Linked DNA regions of Drosophila melanogaster. The gene in region 1 interacts genetically with each later gene. Each region holds a gene or a part of one and is shown on either strand. Other genes may lie near its edges.

Region 1 (7,548 bases):
TTAAGTGTGTATCTTTTAAGTTTTTGTTGCTTTAGCTTTACGAGTAGTTTTGTTAAGTGTTTTCCTTGGTTTAAGAGTTAATTTAATTCGAAAGCGACTTCAACTATGGGGTAAACATGCACACACTCATTGAAATTTTTGCAACTTACAATTAACCATTTGCTAAAATCGAATCCGAGTTCATATTATACAAATATTGAATATCTCTGCGTGTACGCAATATACATATACATATATCTGATGTAATTTAGTTATCGAGTGCTCGCTTCGGCCGGAAATCAGCGCAATGTCTTAGTTTATATACAGGAACTTAGAAGGTATCAAAGGACACGACACGACGAACATTATACGACAAAATTTATCCTAGACTGCGGAGTGTGTCTTCTTGTTTGCGGAGCTGTGAGGGGTCCGAAAATTGTTAAACAATTTCAATTTGTGTTTCAAGAACATTTATCTGGGTCTAAAATGTGTTCTGCTGCTCAGCCTAACTCAGCCGCCTTGTGGCCGCTCTTAATTGGATAGGTATGGTAAAATCTACTACTCGAACGCGTGTATTCATAATTTATGCGGGGTTATATTCACTGACGTTTAAGTATATTCATATTCATAATTTATAGTTCGGAAAATTCATAGTGCTCGCCTAGGCTAATGAGAGCGTTGAGAGAAATACGTACATACATATATTTTCGTACAGTTGCGAATTTCAAGTGCATCTGCTACTGCTGCTGCTTACTCTTCATCTTACTCGTATCTATATTCAACTACCGAACTAAGCTGCATTATCGTGTTGGGGCTTGGATCTCTGGGATCCGTAGAACTGACTTAATAATAAACTGCATTTGCATCAACGTCGGTTGGTCACACATCAGCGACGCCTGCGCACTTCTGGGCAGTTGCTCATCCACATCCTTGCTCCTCATTGTGGTCACATATTCCTATCCCGCATGCTAGAGATCTCTGGTTTTTGTACATTTAACCGACTGAACTCGGCCTGGCTGGAATCGCCCTTCCAATCGCTGGACTAGCATGGAAAGTCCATGGCCAGCTCGTTCTTGATTAGATGATGGTGATTCGGATCGGACATGGGGTTGGGATTCGAGCTGGGGTTACCCGAACTCGGATTGGCTAACTGCTAGTAGGTGGCAAAGCCCATGGCGCCAGCGCTGCTGTTGTCCAAGGGTCACTGGTGCATCTTGGCGGCATGGTGACCCATGTTCAGGCTAAGGTTCAGGTGGTGGCCGCTGTGGTGCTGCTGGGTCGCCTGCGCGTGGTTGTGGTTGCTGCTCGAATTGTTGTTGTTGTTCTGCTGATTGGCCTGGCGCTGTGAGTTCTTCTTGTTCTTCATGCGCCGATTCTGGAACCATATCTTGACCTGAAAGGAACGCCTGTTTAATGAATTCAGTTCAAGTCAGTAGGTTTATGGACTCACCTGTCGCTCGGTCAGCTGCAAATTTCTGGCCAATTCCCAGCGCTTTTGCTTGGAAACATACGCATTGAAAAGAAACTCCTTCTCCAGCTCCAGGGTCTGGAACTTCGAGTACGGCTTGCGCTTTTTCCGGACGGACACCTGACCGGTCCACTCGTGCAGTCCGGGATTGGGCGTGCAAGGACCCACTGCTCCCACGGATAATCCACCAGAGGCTCCTGAAAACATCATCAAGTAATGGGGTTAAACTACATGGTTAACTTCATTAAACCGCAAGTGCGGGTGGTCCGATGGTTTTGTTGCTCGGTGTTCGGTGCAATATCAGATCGTTAAGTTTATAGAGCAATTACGGAAATTGTTTAGCAATAAGCGTAATACGAAATTATTCAATTCCTCATTTATGGCCTCTTAATTGGTGCGGTACGGGGAGCGGAGCTCCGAATTGGCATGAGGCCCATATTCACACTCGAGTGGATAACACTAAATGAATACATTCGTTCCCGCTCATTGGCCGACCAAATGAAGCAATTAAATTAATGTTGAAATAAAGTGACAAGTTGGATTTATTTTAATTTAAACGCTAGTTCAGCACGAGTGAAGAGCTTTTCGAATCTAATCTGATTTCTTCGATTAGTCTTGGTAGCATTGAACAGTTAGGACAGTTAGGTCAGATTGGAAATTAATTATCGAGCCTAAGAGACCTGAATTCCAATTGTAAAATTGGCTGGCGAGGTCACTTAACTGACATATTCCGCCATAATAACGAGTCTTTACTATGGATACCATGGATACTACTGGGAAAATATGACTAGTCGACAGATACAATTCTGGCAGTTGAAAAACACCTGGTGATAAGACACGAACATAAACAGGCAACCCCATAGAATGCAAACCCCAATGACTTTCGCACCCACATAAAGGCGTAACGCTAGCCAAATAGCGAGTATCGATTTATGGGCCGTTTTGCACTACGCTAATTGAACGACAAACTTGACGGTTTCGCAATTTGCTATTTCAACCGATACGACGACGAAAAGTCTAGTGCACATAGGAAAATCAAATAATCTTGAACTTTATATTGTAGGATGCTTAATATTTTAGGGCTGTTTAAATAATTGGCTTGGCTTTTAGGAAAAAAAATAATAGCACCATATAAAAAACACTTCCAAATAATTATCGATTCATTGGAAAATTTGACGGTCTATAAATATATATTTTACAATTAAAAACATTTAGGTGGAATTTGAACGCCTCTTTTTAAACAGAATTTTGAATTCGTATAATTTTTCACTTTAATTTAATTTCATATGAATAACCAAATATTTTATTAAAAATTTTAAGAATTGTAAACAGTAAATTTTTAATTTTTAATCTTTAAAATTTCTCCTCCCAAACTAGAGTTGCAAGATGCTCAAAATTATTTCCAGTGTGCCTAACCTCGTTACCCTTAAGTGTGCCGACTCTGGCCGGTCTGGACTCACCTGAGCTGGAGTAGTTCTCGCTGGGATAGCCGCGCAGGCCGCCTGGCGAGGAGTAGGTGGGCGGCTCATAGCTGGACGTCGATGTGCCCTCGACGGACTGTCGGGCGGCGGCGCTCACGTGGCGCTCCGCTTCGTTCATGTAGGCCGCCGCCGCTGCGGCAGAGGTGGTCTGATCGGGGCGGTAGTTGGGGCCCCAGTACTGCTGCGGGGGAGAAATGAGGTCGGGTTGGAACGAAGTTGCTTACAACTGATGTGGAGGCGTGGGTGGCGCTGTGGCCATACTTACACCAACCGGAAACTGCGTTTCTGGGTAAGGATAGGCGAACATGTGCTTGCGGTCGTAGTACCCGGAGCCGTAATGCTGATTGAATCCCTCGTCGTTGTAGGCCCAGTGTGCCGTGTGCCGCTTGACCGCCGCCGAGGTGTCCGTCTCGAATCCCGGACCGGCCCGGATGGCGGGTATATGCAGTGGCGCTAATTGTATGGACATATTGATGTCTGAAAGTAAACGATAAGCGCAGATTTGCTGCTGTTAATATTGGCACTAGGGCTGGTAAGTCTAATTTTAACGACTGTCTATGATCAAATCGACCTCCTTGATCATTTGGCATTTTATCACTTGGCGTGGCATTTGTGCCTATAACCCTTAGATTGTTTGTCGATGTCATGGATGTGGGTGCATTCACACCTCGTCTATATATAAATCTGTATATTTAACACGTGTCAACACTTAAGGTAATAAAATGGTTACCATAACGATTACGTTTCAAATCATCGTTTAATTTTTTTTTTTGTGTAAACTCTTTAAAAAAAAACCAATGCAGTTTTGAAGAACTTCAGTACACTCACAAACAATATTTTTAAAAATTTTTAATTTCCTTACAAAATTAAAGTTGTTACCACCCTGCAATTATATAGTCTATAATGATAAAACAGACGCAAATATTTTGAGTAAATAAATTAAATGCGTGACGATTCCTGGGAGAGTTAAAGAAAAGCCTTATCAGCCTTGAAAAACGTGCTGCAATCAGCACAACTGAAACGTTATTGCAACTGGGGGGAAAAAAAAACAAGTGGAACGACCCCGTTCCCAATTTAACGTCCCCAATTTATTTCGAGAGTTTTCCAGTTCAGATGTAGAAAATTTCAAAAAATATATTTCCCAACGATCTTTGAAAGCCCATAACCAATGGAGTTCCAATAAGAAATCCGCTGGTTTTCAACCCCAAGGAAAGTTATATTTCTGGGACCTCACCTTCCTTCTGAGAACTAACACTGGAGGGAGAAACACTCGCCGTGGTCGGCGCAACGATCTGCGTCTGGCCAGGAGCAACTGCAGCATTCTGCTGTTGCTGCTGCTGCTGGAGATTCGAGGAGGCGCCGCTGGCGACACTGTTCGGGGTTTGTTGCTGCGGCAGTTGCTGGTGGTGGGGCGATGTGAGATGTTGCTGTTGTTGGGCGGAGGGTCCAGTGGGTGTTTGGGCAGGACTGAGGGCGCCGGCCACCGGTGTTGTCGCCAGCTGTTGTTGCTGCTGTTGCTGCTGCTGTTGAAGTTGCTGCTGCTGCTGCGGAGCGGGGAGGTGTTGCTGCTGTACGGCGACAAGTGGCACAGGCGGAGGATCCTCGTACATAACCGCATGCGTGGGCGTGGAATGTGTGGTGGGAGTTGACTGCTGTTGCTGCTGCTGGAGCACCGAGGAGGGTGAGGAGGCGACGACTGCATGTTGCTGCTGCTGTTGCTGCTGCTGCAGGTGGGGATGCGCGCTGTGGTGATGGCTGGTGGTGTGGAGAGGCTGAGGCAGGTGGTGGTGCGCATGGTGATGCAGTTGCTGCAGATGCTGCTGCTGCTCCTGCAGATGCTGCTGCTCCTGCTGCTGCTGCTGCTGTTGCTGCTGCTGCAGATGGTGCTGCTGCATGACGGGCAGGGAGGGATGCGCCTGGGGATGCGGATGCGGGTGCGGGGCGGTGGGTACGTGGGTGTGGGTGTGTGTGTGATGCCCCCACCACGCCCCGGCAGCGGCGTGCGACCCGACTGCCGAGACATCGTGGGGGTCGTAGAGAGCGCACGCCAGCGGGATGGTTGGGGTTTGGGGGAGGGGTGGAATATTTACGGTTATCTTGGACGCGTTGCACTCGAACTGCGGCGGCGAGGATAAAGGCGGTGCAGTGGGGTCGATCGCCTCGACCCACCGACCTTTCTCTGTCTTTTTTTTCTCACTCCTCTGAGTGACGCCTTTCTAATTGTTTAAGTCTCTTTATATTTTTTTCGCGACTTAATAATTTTTATTTTTAATATTCAGAGCACCTTTACTCGAGTTTTGCCCCTTTTATTTGCGTACCGCACACGCACACAAACGTCCGTCAGCGGTCACACGCACACGCCGACTTACTCACACACGCACACTGCCTAAAGAGCGGGCGAAGAGAGTAACTTTGTTGTTGCACAGGGGATCGAATCAGCTTGAATTTCACAGGGTGCTTGCGGTCGTCAGCAACTCACGCAGTATTTTCAAATTGGCTTTTTTCAGTTTTCATTCGGTCAATCCAATTTTCCAAAACTTTTCCAATTTTTCCTTTGTCAGTTAATGTTTTCTTTTCACTTTTCTTTTTTTTTCGGTTGGCGTTTGTTTTTGATTTTCTTCTCTCTTTTATAATTATCATAAATAGTTTATTATTTGTGGGGCCTGCAGTCGTTGTTGTTGCTGCTGCTGGCGTTCGCTTTTTATGTTGCTGGTCATAAAATTTGATTTTACGACCAAAACAAACAATTAAAGGCAATGTTTGCAACAGTTAACAAAAATGTTATTATTTCTCCTCACAACGCCGGCGACACGATGTTTTGATTGTGTTTTTTGTTTTTTGATTTAATTTTTTATACGACTCCAAAAACGTTTCTTCTTTCAGTTAAATTTTTCGAAAATGTTCAACTTGTATTTTTCGAACCGTTCGAACGAAACACTCCCAGTCGAATGTGAATGTGAATGGACGGCGAGTACGAAATCGTTCAAGTCCCAGTCCTCGACGAAGTTGCAGGGCCGCTTGCCTCGGCTGTTGTTGTAGTTGCTGTTGTTGCTGCTGGACGCCCGCGCGCCTTCCAACCGAACAGAGCGAAGCACAAATCTACACTGACGGCAGCAACGCGCACGGCGACAACATATCCACATCGCTGGCACGGCACACCGACAACACAAGACCAAGACCAGAACCAGAACCAGCACACGAACACAAACTCTAAGCGCAGCGGCGCCAGCCCGCTCCAGTGTGTGTGTGTGTGTGTGTGTGTGTGTGTGTGTGTGTGCCTCCCCGTCCGTGTGACTTGGAAGAGAGCGCGGACATGCGCATGTTGCACAAGCACTCAGATTGATGGTGGTGGTGGTTGATGTTATGTTGATGGCAGTTGGTGCGGCTCTCTTGTGGCGCGTTATGCACACGTACACTGTATACAGCGTCTGTGTGGATCCCAGACTGTCAGCGAGTGTGCGTGTGTAAGTGGGGGGAGCCGAAGAGAGTTTTGGATGTTGCTGGGGGAAATAGCACTGTTTCAACTAGCGCCTTCAATGAGGTAAAGATGGTATCGCACTTCGACTGGGACTGGCTCTGGAATTCGCTGAGCTCAGCAGGTGCTCCAAGTCACAGGGGGTCATCGAGGGCGAAACACACACGCACAGTGTACGTGTGAAGGCATCCGCTCTTCAACGAACAAAAAACGCTCTCAGACTCACCGCCCGCTCTTACTGCCCGATTCTGGGGGCTGATTTGAATACTTAACACGCGCGCACCACAGCGCCATCTATGTCCGAGATTTCGATGGAATGGGGGCGGGGAGGCGTGGTAGATGGCACCACATTGTGTGTAGTTAGTTGGCTTGTTGTTGGCGCTTTTTATCGATTACCACAACAGCAGCAACATACAGAAAAACTCACTGCATAAAGACCATGGATCGCGACCAATTATACGAGTCGTCAAGCGCAGTGACTAATTAATGCTAATTAGTTAAACAAATACATGCGTGCGCCAGTTCAGTCAGCAAATTATGACAGCCCAATTGTTAGGAAACCCCGGGTCTCTTTTCACCCCTATCTCAACATCCTTTCTCCCTTTTGGCTCTTCTACAGATTCCCCTCCTTGTCTCACTTCCAAAGGCAGTTGCCAAATTTTACGCTGCAATGGACAATTATGGGAATTTTATGGCAATTGCCATTGGAAGAAAAGCAAAAGGCACGCAGTCGAGGCCAAGGAAATGTTAACAAATCGTAAAAAGGATGCGATGAGAACAACTCTCAACCCGTTTGACAACAAAATGTATGTACAATCGCATAAAAATCCATACTTAGCAATTACAATAATACATTTGAGCAGGGGCTTAAGAAAATGTCAGAAGTCATCGCGACTGGAGACGAATAATATTATTTCTTATGTGAAATCAGAACATTCATTTTTAATTTTTCACATCACGCATTTAGTTGAAGAGTCCAACTGCTTACATAACAAAGTTGATCAAGTAAACCCCAAAAAAACTTCAAGAATTCTACTTATAATAATACAAAACTTGTAATTAACTGCCGCAATCTATTTCCAAAAATAACTTCTTCGATTGAAATTATTATTCAACTTTTTTATTTATAAATAGAAATAAAGTAT
Region 2 (6,729 bases), about 12 Mb from region 1:
TTTTCCTAATGAAATGACTTGTATGTTGAATAAGTTATGGATTAATATGTGGTCTGGCCATTTCTTCGACTAACCGATGCGTCTAAACTGGTCCCACAAATTCCTGCAATGGTTCCGTCGTTCTGCAATTGGACTAAAGTCTTTTCTTTCTTGAATCTCGAGTGGATTGCGACCGCATGGTCGTGGAGTAGAGTCGGACTTGTTTGGATGTAGGGCAGCCTAAAGCGGACAGATGAGTCAGTGCCGGTCCCCCGGCAGCGGATGTCGTTCATTTCAGTTGAAAACTCTTTTTTGGCTTAATTAATTCGACGATTGGCTTAATGGCGCGCTGAATCCTCAGCGGGTTTTCCTGCCCATGCATAAATTACTCAGCTATTTGCTTTCCGGAACCCAGCAACTCCCATGGAACCGCGCCAATCGCCTCGACATGCAATCAGTAATGAAAGCACACACTTTCCCGAGGGACCTTGGGGGCGAGCAAAAACAATTTCAGCTGATAACATCTCGCGTTTCCTGGCCACTCGAAACCATTAGATTTTGCTGCGTTTTCACCTCGCAACAAAGACCAAAATTAGAGCCGTAAGCACTGAAGGCAAAGGCAGTTCGGTTATATCACTGTAACGAATGAACTTCGAGAATGCTGGTCTTTGAAAGGTAAGTACAGTGAGGCCGCTGGTGGCGTGAACAAGAACGTATTTAAACTTCTAATCGAAAACAAAGGCGTAAAAGCGAAATAACCGACGTCGTGGAACACATATATGTACATAGAGTGGAAATCAACATCTCTCGATATCGTAGTGTGTTGCCAGATTTAGTCCTTCAACAGCTGGCTCAAATACATTAAATAGTATATAAGTATCTAAGTATAAGATATTAATAGTGAAATTTCAAGAGACGTCCTCATGTCTAGCCATAAATCGGAGCCCTGTAAGTTTTCGAAATTCGTCTCAGCTCAACGGTTTGCCATTAGCGAGGGACCCCTGTGCTGTGCGCCGAGGTCACCCCAACCCGCTGCCCGGTCCTCCATCAATGACAATAATCAATCACGGCTCACCGCAGAGGAGGAGGCCATGAGGCGGAGCAGAATGAGGAAACAAAGGGAGCGAAGATGAAAATCGAATCAAGGCGAACAGAAAGAGGAGTTAGTCGGTCGGTGGTGGTGGGAAGTGTGAAAAGTTGGCCACAAAAGCCGACGGCAAGGGGAGTTTTCCTTGCCGCGGCCAAATCACTTGAACTATGCTTTTCTTGCTCGCTACGTTAATTGAAAACACAATTTACTTAATTTTTGCATATCTCGCTTCAAATTACGTTGCATAATTTTGAATAATTTTTATTCGTATTTTTTGTGTTGCTTTTTTCTGCTTTACTCTTCTCTCTCCATCGTTTGGTAATAATTTTCCTTTCATATTTTCGTATTCTTTCGGTAAATGGTTGTTGTAACATTTTGCTGATTTGTAATTAAATATGCGTATGTGTAACTTTTAGCAATTGTTTTGTTTAATGTTGCTGCCGTTGTTGTTGTTGTTGCAGTTCTTGTTTTTGCCGTTGTTGCAGTTGTTATTGTTTATGTGGTTGGCTTACACAGAGCGGTTGCTGTTGTTTCTTGTTGGTTGTTTAATTTAAATTAAATTAATTACTAAAATTATTTTATAACAAATATCACTACAATAGTTTGCATTTTTTTTTTTTGTTGTTGTTTGTTTTTGTATCGTTTATCAATTACTACCATTACTAAAAGAAAAAAAGATCGCTCATTTCCTCTTTTCTCACCGTCGGACAACAATTTCTCATAGCAGCTAGACAGAATTTTGTTTCATCTCTTAATATTTTTAGAGTTAATTACTTTTGATTCTAAAAGCTTTGATGGGTGTGTATATATAGTACTGTTTTAGGGGAGGATCTATTAATTATTCCTTGAGGCGGCTATTTCATCGACGCGTACTTGGTAGGCGCCTGTCTCATGTGTTGCAAGTTGCTGTTGCTGCTGCTGATGTTGCCGTTGTCCTGGTTGCTGCTGGTGCTGCATCACACGTTGTAGCAGGAGATCTGCGGCAGGTGCTGGAATGTGGGCGTGGCCGCCACCGCCGTGGCCGCCGAACTGAACGGCACAAACGAGGTCTGGCCGGCGGCAGCGGCGGCGGCTGCCAAGTTGAGCGAGGCGGCCGCCGCGTACGGGTGCATCCGCTGGGACCGCAAGTACTGGCGGTACTTTCCGCTCAACTTGTCGGTGGCCGTGTTCACTGCTCCCGTCGCCCCCGCACCACTCACCGCCCCGCCTCCGCCCACCGACGCCGACCCGCCCGAGGCCGCTCCGGCGGTGGGCGTGGCCGAGTAGAGGCGCATGGGATTGGTGTCAGGGCCGGCCTGATAATTGCTAGGAACTGTGGCCATCGGCGAGCGGTCCATCAGCATGGACGTCGCGTCCCACGGCGGCGGAGGCAGGCAGTGTTGCTGTTGCTGCTGTGGCTGCTGCTGCTGCACCTGCGACTGTTGCAGCTTCCCCGAGGCGACCGCCGTCTGTCCGTAGCTGCCGGAGATCATGGCGTCCCGCTTCCCGCCCCCTGCTCCGCCGCCACTACCCTTGGCCGCGTAGTGGCTGTGGGGATGCAGCATGTGGTGCGGCGTGAGGGCGGTGCGGGCGGCCAGCGCAGCCAGTTGATCCCACTGGCCGGCGGCTGCGGCGGCTATCGAGGCCTGGGCCGCAGCTGCCGCCGCTGAGTTGGCTGCATGGCTCTGGCTCTGGCTCTGACTTTGGCTTTGGCGTTGGCTTTGGTTGCTGCTGGCACGTTGCTGCTGCTGCTGCTGCTGTTGCTGCTGCTGGTGCTGGCGGACCAGACTAGACTGTTGCTGGGGATAGTGGGCCTGCTGCGACATCTGCGACATCTGCTGGTGCTGTTGCCGCAGTTGCTGCTGTTGCTGTTGGTAGCGTTGCTGCTGTTGTTGCTGCTGCTGGGCGCTCGTAGCCGCCCGGGCTCCACGCCGCGCGGCACTACTGCTGGGCGCCGTGGCCACCGCCGCACCGCTTCCGCCTCCGCCCAGGGCCGCTCCGCTGCTCAGCGAGCTGCTGCTCACCGCCCGCGCGGTCGCATGCATGTTGTTCACGAACGGGCTGCGCCGCTGCGACTCCATCTTGCGGAAGTAGCACGGGTGGATCATCAGCAGGGGCTCCACTCTCTGGCCCGCCGGCGGCTTGGGCTGGTTGGGCAGCTCGTACTCCACGCTGCAGTCCACGTGCAGCGGGATGCTGTAGTCCTTCTGCGGCGATGGAGCGGGGGCTGCGTTGCTGTTGCTGCTGGCAGTCTGCTGCTGCTGCTGCTGCTGTTGCTGCTGTTGTTGCTGTTGTTGTTGTTGTCTGCTGTTGGCAACCGCGGCGGCGACCTGCGTTTGGGTCGCCGCCGCATGGCTGTGGCGCGAGTTGCTGCTGCTGCTGGTGTTGGCGGGCTGGTGGTGATGGCGGTGGTGTTGCTGCTGCTGCTGCTGTTGCAGCAACTGCTGCTGGTGGGCAGCCACGGCGGCGTGGTACATGTGTTGCTGCTGCTGCTGGTGATGATGCTGCTGCTGCGTCTGGCTGTGCTGCTGCTGTTGCTGCTGCTGTTGCTGCTGCAGGGCGGACAGGGCCGACATGCCGTGCGACAGGGACGACATGTCGTAGTTGGCATAACAGGCGGCCATCGTCATTGCTGTATTCAGGGGATCTTTTAGCTTTTGCTCTCGTTTCGGTAACACAGAATTCGCTTTTGGTTTGCTTATTTACTTAGATTTAGATTTTTATCATTTTGCGGATGTTTTTCGCTTTCTTCACTTTCGAAAAAATTCACTTTTGTGGTTTTATTGGCACTGGTAATCCAAAAAGAGCGGCTAACGGTAAATTTGCCGCTGCAGGTAATCCGTGAGTTGGTTGTTGCTTTTGTTTTTGTGTTTTGAGATAGGAGGAACCTTAATCCATATGTGTGTTTGCTTTGCTTTGGAATTCGCTTTAACCCGTATAATATTAGCTGCTGTTCGCGTGTTTAACTTTGTTTCGTTACGTTTATTGTATATTTATTAGCGTTTTAGTCAGTCTTTGTTTGGTTTTACATAAATGCAGCGAACAGTTGGAGCTGCTGGGTGAGTGTGAGTGCGAGTGGGTGCGCGTGTCGGGGTGAGTGAACAATCCACGTGTGTTTTCAGTCTTTTTGCCCGTTTTTGCTGGCTAACTTAACCGTTGCTTTTTAGCTACTCCTTGTCTTCTTTCCATTCGGTTATGCTCTGTTCTGTTCTTTTCTCGCGGGGGTGAGTTCGCGGAGTAGGTAACTTGTTAGTTCTATGCGCAATAGAACTGCCGAACGAACGTCTCATCCACTCCGAAGAAAAACGCGATCTGAATTGTAGTTTCTGCTTTGTAGTTTTGCTGCCGCCGCTTGCTTCTCTGCCGCGGTCTCTGCCGACGTTTGTAAGCGCAGCGAGTATGCTGAATACGGAGCGCGCACGAAAAACAGCTGTTGGCTAGACGCCTACGCCTGTGTGTAGGCTTTGCTTTTATTGTTTTTGTTGATTGTCTGCCGATTTACTTATTTTTCGTATCACAATTGGCTGCGTTGCGTTTGTTTTTGGGTTTTAACTGCGTGTTCACCTTCGACGCGACGTTGAATCTTCTTAACTCTCTTCTTCGTTAATTACGTGCCACAGACCACGCTTTATCTCCTCCTATGTCCGCACGAATCGAGCTCTTTGAAGCGACTGACTCGAAACGTCGTCTTCGCTCCATTCTGCCGACGCCTACCTGCTGTTCGGCACAGCTGATGTTCCGTGACGTATTCAGCACACACACAGTCGCAGGAGACGAGCGCAGAGTTATTGTTATTGTTGCTTTCCTATATAAATTGCATTCAATGGCCGCTCTCTCTCCCTCTCTGTGACCGCTCTCTCTGTGCCTGCGTGTGTGTGTGTGGTATACATTCAGCCATGTTACTACACGGCGGCCATCTTTACAACTGCTTTGGTCGAGACAGAGAGAGACAAAGAGGCGAGAAAAGAGCGAGAGAGCGCACATTATTTTGTAATACGATGTCTTTAACCGTTTTAGTGCTTTAATTTTTTACGGCAAACGCATTTTTGGGAGCAGCTTTATGGGGTCGTAAAAGCAGATGGGTTCTAAAGGGGTTAACGGCGAGTTGAGAGCTAATTGAGCCGCACTAAAAACGGGGAGTTGAATGAATCTATCAGCATCACCTGGTTAAAATGGGAATGGGTTATTTTTACTTATGTATTTCTGAGCACTTTGGTACACCCCTAAAACTTAAAACCCATATAATATCAACATAAGCAGTGTGATCTCCACACAACTGCCTAAAAATCCTCTGCGACGCAACTTCGAACACACCTACGTAGTTCCTTAATATAAGAATACAACAAATACCCCAAGAACCTCTCCGGTTTTGGAATACGAAAGCTAAACTGCGCACTGAGAGACTTTCTGCAGACCAAAAAAGGAAAACAAATTGCAAAAACTCAAACAGACAGCGATATTAAACATTTCTGTACTAAAAAATGGGCAATTTAAGTCAGGAAAGGGCACTGTCTCGCTCGCACACACACAGCGAGAGAGCGAGAGAGAGTGAGAAAACGGCTGGGAATTACACACATTGTAATAAATAAGGAAGGTCGTTGCCATAGCAGCCGCCGTTGGCGTCGTTTTTTTCCCCCCATTTTGTTGTTGCTGCAAGAGAGTGGCTCGCTCTGTGGGGCTCATTCAGCAACTGCTGATAACAAATCAGCTGTTTTGTTATTTGGGGAGGTGTGTCCGCGTGCGAGTGTGTTGGTGAGTCTGGCTGTCTCTCTTGGTACATATTTGTTTTTTTTTTTCTCAAAGCATATGTTTGTTGGAATCGCTGTTGCAGCTGTTGTTGTTGTGGGGCTGAAAGTTGTTGCTGTCAAGTTGCCATTGCATTTCAGTGTTGTTGCTATTCGATGTGCAAGTAAAATGAAAACCTATGTGGCGGATTTGCATTGAAGCATGTCTTTTAATCCAAAAAGTAAAACTAATGCTTCTTATTGTCTACTAAAAACTAATAATTCGTATTATGTGCTAATTATTCTAAGACTCTTAAGAAAGAACATGATTGGTGCATGTATACAAGTTAATGGATACTATTGTTTGATAGCCTTAATGATTTCCTGCTTTTCTACTGTTGTTGCCATGGTTTTGTTAATGAATTGTCTTCATTGCATCTGGGATTGTGGATGGTTTTTGGAGTCTGGTTTGGGTTAATATCGACACTATAGTGTTGTAGCTTTATGCCGACTTTTATGGTGCTGTCGCTGCTGCTTTTAAGCCTTTTCTTTATTGGTGCTTCCGCCGTATTATTTGTATGGGTTTTGGATCTGATGTAGCTGCCAGCTTTGCACTCGTGCGTCCCTTTGTGTGCTTATTTCTGCTCTGCTGTGCTGTTTTTTTGCAGCTTTTTTCTGCCTTTGGTTGCTTTCTGGATTGATGTTGCTGCCGTGATGTTGCTGCTTGCGTGCTTAATGACGAGTCGGCCGCATTACAGTTTGATTACGGGCCGCCAATTTGGAAATTACCGAACTGCTTGAATTAGCGGGCCAGTCGCTCTGCTGGAGAGCCTATGGCTCAACCCCAACCCAAGCGAACGGCCAGAACGAACAAAAACGGGCAGCAGGAAATTGGTCAAGAGGGGCAACAGACAAAACGACAACTGCCAAGACGACGACAATGCCTGAAGTGGTATA
Region 3 (4,710 bases), on another chromosome or scaffold:
GAAGTATGTCATTAAGTTGAAGTACATATCTACTTTACTACCATACCATATTGACAACGCTTTACAAATAATGATAACTTATGATACCACATCAAATTTCTTGTGACAATTTTAATAAGAAGATCAAATATGCTTATCAACCATATTGCCGGGCCTTTAAAAAGAGAGCCAATTACTTCAGTATCAGTTCTTTATCAAGCTTCAACCTCAGTGGTTGTCCAAAATGTTTAGCTCTACGAGAATTATTTTGTGCGCATTTCTATTGCTGTATCCTTACGGATCCCTGATAGAAGCCCAGGAGGGCAGGCGCTATGTGTGTCTATTATCAGATCCTCCCAATCAGTGCAGTGAATATTGCGTATCCGCACTGCAGCCGGTCATCGATCACCTTTCGAAGGAGCAACAGGACTGGGGAGCCTGCGAGGTGAAACTTAATGGAAGCGTCGCGAAACTGGATAAGATCGAAGACCAGTTGACGGCGACACAAATCCAAATAGAAGCCCAGCAAGCATTCCTTGTGAACAACATTTCGAAGGCAATCAAAACCGAGGACCTTGAGCAAAAACTAAAGGATATCGAAGGCAATCAGACAGCGCTGAGTAATCAGTTGAAAGATGGACAGAAGAGGACGGAAAACCAGTTGACAGCCATCCAGAAGACTCTATCCGATATCGAAAGGAAACTCGTGCTGCAGAGATATCAACAGATAGGATCGAGATATTTCTACATCGAACACAACTTACAGGTGAACTGGAGGACCGCCGAGCAGAGGTGCATTGAAATGGGCGGCCACCTCGCAGCATTCCAAAATGCCGAGGAATACAACGCCATAGTGGGCCAATTGAACAAGGCGAACTACTGGCTGGGTGTCAACGATCTGGCCAAGCAGGGCGAGTTTATATCCTTGGCCTCCGGCAAACGAGCTACCTACTTCAAGTGGCGCAAAAATGAACCCAAATACAATAATCCTACCCAGCACTGCGCCTACGTTTTTGGGCACGAAAACATTATGATCGTTCTGTCCTGTACCACTGACGTTATGCATTTCATTTGCCAATCAGACAGTGATGTTTAGTTTTAAAGTATCAACACATGTATGAATGAATATTACAACAAAACCACAAATACTATAATTCACTTTACTGCATTTGATGCAAAAATTGATGGGAACATTTAATAACGCTTTTAGCAATAATTTTTCTTTGTGAGAGGGTTTAAGGGCAATTTTTTTTGACAACAAGTGATTGCCACAGATAGGAAATTATTTCGTTTCAAATTGTCAAAAAAGTCGACATGGCGCCGTAAATAAATTGGCTGAAATGAGTAATAGGCTTAAGAGATTGCTGTTATCGAATTTATTTTATTTGTTTTTCTGGTTTTGGTTCCCCGCACGTCGTAAATTAAGATTGATTCCTCGTTAAGATTATTAAATTTATCGTACTCGACAAGCACTCTTTATAAGCAACAAATGAATAAAGAAATTTTCGACTTTAATCACAAAAACTGGCTTATATCAATTTTAAAAACTCCTATTAAACAAGGCAATAAACTGTGTAGGTTCGTATTTCAATTAATATTTGCTAACTAAAATATTTTTGGAATACGATATTTTTGTGCCCTAGTTGCACATCTCTAGCATATTATAAGCCGATAGCTCCGGCCGATTCCCATGGCGTTCCGCTTGGCATCCACCTCTGGCCACTCTAATCAAAACAATACAGGAAAACAGGCATTTTTGTGTACAAATATTAAAAAAAACATTCTGCGCTACAAAAATGGCCTTGGAGTCCGGCAGCAGCAGCTCGGAGTCGGGCAGCTCATCCACAAGCGGATCCACCAGTTCGGAAACGGGCAGCAGCTCGGACACGGATTCCAGCAGTGCGACGCCGGAGGAGAAGCCATCCACGAATTCCTCCGCCAAATCCCAGACGCAAACACAACAACAAACTAATTCCGGAAATGCACAGAGAAGAAAGCCTGTTCCTGCGGCGTCGGAGGATAAACCCAAGCCGAGCGTAGCGCCATCTAGCAAAAAAGTAAACAATCCTCCCAAAAGTAAACTCTCCAGCGATGACGACGAATATGAGGACTCGGCGCCGCCGGCCAAAAAGAACTCACGTGCAATGGGCAGTTCCACTGTAACAGCGGCAGCTGCCGCCTCAGCAGCCAGGAGAAAACCACCCGCGTCCGTCAACAAGCCAAGCAATCCCGCTAACAAACCGAGCAATCCTACCCAGCGATCGGCCAACAACAACACAAATCGATCACTGGAGAACGGCGAGGGCAAGCGACCCTCGCTCTCCTCCTCGTCCAATAGCACAGATGACTCTATGAAGATCGTTAAAAACGGGCGGAAGGTTCCCCTCAAAATGGCCAGCACGGTGAGGCCCAAACAAATCCGAGGAAAATTGCCGCCGGCAAAGAAAAACGGCGGGGGACCGGTGATCAGCAGTGACGGAAGTTCGGGCTCCGAGAGTGGCTCCAACTCGGGCGACGAATCAAGTTCAGGAAGCGAGTCTGAGGGAAGTGATTCCAGCAACTCCTACAGCTCGCAGCCAGTAAAAGGAGGAGCTAAAGGTAGGCAGGGTATAAAGTATAGAATTTATGTAAGGATTTTAATAATATTTAAATTTAACTCTTATTATTATAGGTAAGAGAAGCGGACCAACAAAAATCCAAAACTCCGACAGCGAAGAAGAGCGAAAAGACAAGGCCAATCCCATGAGGAAACTGACGCGATCACTCAGCATGCGAAGGACAAAACAGCAACCCAAACAGGAAACCGATTCTGAATCCGATGGAGACCTAGAAGATGACAAAATTATGATCTCCAAAAGTCCCGCCAAAAAGCCAGCGCCCTCGAATTTGAACGCCAGCAAAAGCAAAGTGAAAAGGGAACCAATCGGAATCAGCAGTGGCGTGCTGAGCTCCATTAAATCCCGACCCGTGTCACCGATTACCCAGACTGAGAAGAAGTGTCCCATCGAGGGCTGCGATTCATCCGGACATCTGAGTGGCAATTTGGATAAGCACTTTTTGCCGGAGGCCTGTCCTATCTATCACAACATGTCCGCCTCGGAGTGCAAAGAGCGTGCCAATGAGAGAAAACTGAGGAATGAACAGCGACTAAAGATGCCGGTTAACATTGTGACGGCGCCGGGTAACCAAAACACCAATCTCAAGACGCTCTCGCCTGAGCAGCGCGAGTTTCTGGCCAAGATTCGCGAGTCAAGGGCTAACTTTAAGCCGGCGAATAACAATTTTTTAGACTCGAAGGTGAGGATAGTGGGTTAGCTTGAAAGTCCATATGAGACTATTGCTAACTATTTGATTACGCTTCAGGTAAAGCTGGAAAAAGACGTAACGGACGAGGACCGGGAACCAAATCTGGCAGGCCTGGTGCCTGACTATGATTTGCAATTGTTCCGGGAAGCGCAAGCTCAAGCATCCGAAAGGATCGAAGACGAACTCAAGGACCTGCCCGTGGGAAAGGGAATAAAGTAAGTAGTAGTAATATAACAAACTTATGGAGATCAATTTACAACCCTTACGTCTGACAGATATATCAGCATGGGCAAGTACAAGATGAAGGTCTGGTATCAATCCCCTTATCCGGACGATGCTGCCCGCCTGCCCAAAATGTATATCTGCGAATTCTGCCTGCGCTACCAAAAATCAGAGACGGGCATCAAGCGGCATGCCGAGAAATGCGTCTGGCGGCATCCGCCGGGCGATGAGATATACCGCAAGGGCAAACTACAGGTGTGGCAGGTGGACGGGAAACGTTATAAGCAATACTGTCAGCATCTGTGCCTGCTAGCAAAATTCTTTCTGGATCACAAAACCCTCTACTACGATGTGGAGCCCTTCCTTTTCTACATTATGACGCTGGCCGATGTGGATGGATGTCATATTGTTGGTTATTTTAGCAAGGTAAGTAAAGTATTTATTCGTAATGTATATTTTCTTTGGTAATTGTTAAAAACTGAATATGCTAATATGCTAATCAAACATCAAGCAGTTGAAATAACAAATCCACTTTGATTTTCCAGCTCATTGAATTATAAATTTTAAGTTAAATATAATTTTAAGTTGAGTTACATATTGAAGCAGTTAAAGTATCAAAATGAATATTTAATAAGGAGCTTAATAGAGGGCTTAACTACAAAAATTAATGCTTCCCTTTATTCCTAAGCAATTGGAAACCAAAGCGGAAAATCTGATCCTGCTCTAATGATTTCGATTCCTAATTGCTTATTATTTGAATAGTCGCGCTGCAATTGTGCGCCAGAATTTTCCAGAACCTTTATGGTTATTCCCCAGCATAAAATTGAATAATAACATTTTACAGTTTTATGATTCCTTTATGTCTGGAGACGGAATAGAGATGCGAGGAATGTAGAAGCCGGTATCCCAGACTCCCAGAATGGCAGCCACAGCCCATGTACGGTGCATACATATGTACCGTCAAGCAGACTATATGGTTGTATCCAGATGCAGACAGTGAGCTCTGCCTTGACCATGCCCACCAAAAACAGCAGATGATTTTTCCATTTAATTTTTTTGTCAACGTTTTCGGGTAAATAAGCAACAGACAGAGAGAAACAAGCGGCGCGAACGAGAGAGTCATTTCCCCTGGCTTTAAAAAGCAGCCACGGTTTCTTGACCTCCCACCAGAATGTACGGAAAATACGGGTCCGGCGATACATT

The links. A genetic interaction does not mean that the proteins touch.
Region 2: of Abd-B (region 1) and corto, changing one enhances a phenotype caused by changing the other (phenotypic enhancement), as found in Drosophila melanogaster (one study listed by BioGRID).
Region 3: of Abd-B (region 1) and chm, changing one enhances a phenotype caused by changing the other (phenotypic enhancement), as found in Drosophila melanogaster (one study listed by BioGRID).

Annotation. Positions count from the first base shown.
Region 1 is NT_033777.3:16,928,209-16,935,756, forward strand, and holds the start of Abd-B (abdominal B), read right to left. Parts: upstream 6,035-7,548; 5' UTR 4,824-6,034; coding exon 4,163-4,823; intron 3,406-4,162; coding exon 3,194-3,405; intron 3,110-3,193; coding exon 2,908-3,109; intron 1,645-2,907; coding exon 1,430-1,644; intron 1,373-1,429; coding exon 1,181-1,372; coding exon of another isoform or gene 1,022-1,180; 3' UTR 1-1,021. UniProt on the Drosophila melanogaster protein: Sequence-specific transcription factor which is part of a developmental regulatory system that provides cells with specific positional identities on the anterior-posterior axis.
Region 2 is NT_033777.3:5,082,348-5,089,076, forward strand, and holds the start of corto (corto), read right to left. Parts: upstream 4,726-6,729; 5' UTR 3,679-4,725; coding exon 2,026-3,678; 3' UTR 1-2,025. UniProt on the Drosophila melanogaster protein: Essential protein required for proper condensation of mitotic chromosomes and progression through mitosis. Binds to specific polytene chromosome sites, many of which are shared with the posterior sex combs (Psc) protein.
Region 3 is NT_033779.5:7,410,732-7,415,441, forward strand, and holds the start of chm (chameau), read left to right. Parts: upstream 1-1,685; 5' UTR 1,686-1,775; coding exon 1,776-2,577; intron 2,578-2,650; coding exon 2,651-3,276; intron 3,277-3,342; coding exon 3,343-3,500; intron 3,501-3,560; coding exon 3,561-3,933; intron 3,934-4,710. Other genes in the region: CG15818 (uncharacterized protein), read left to right, coding at 224-1,075.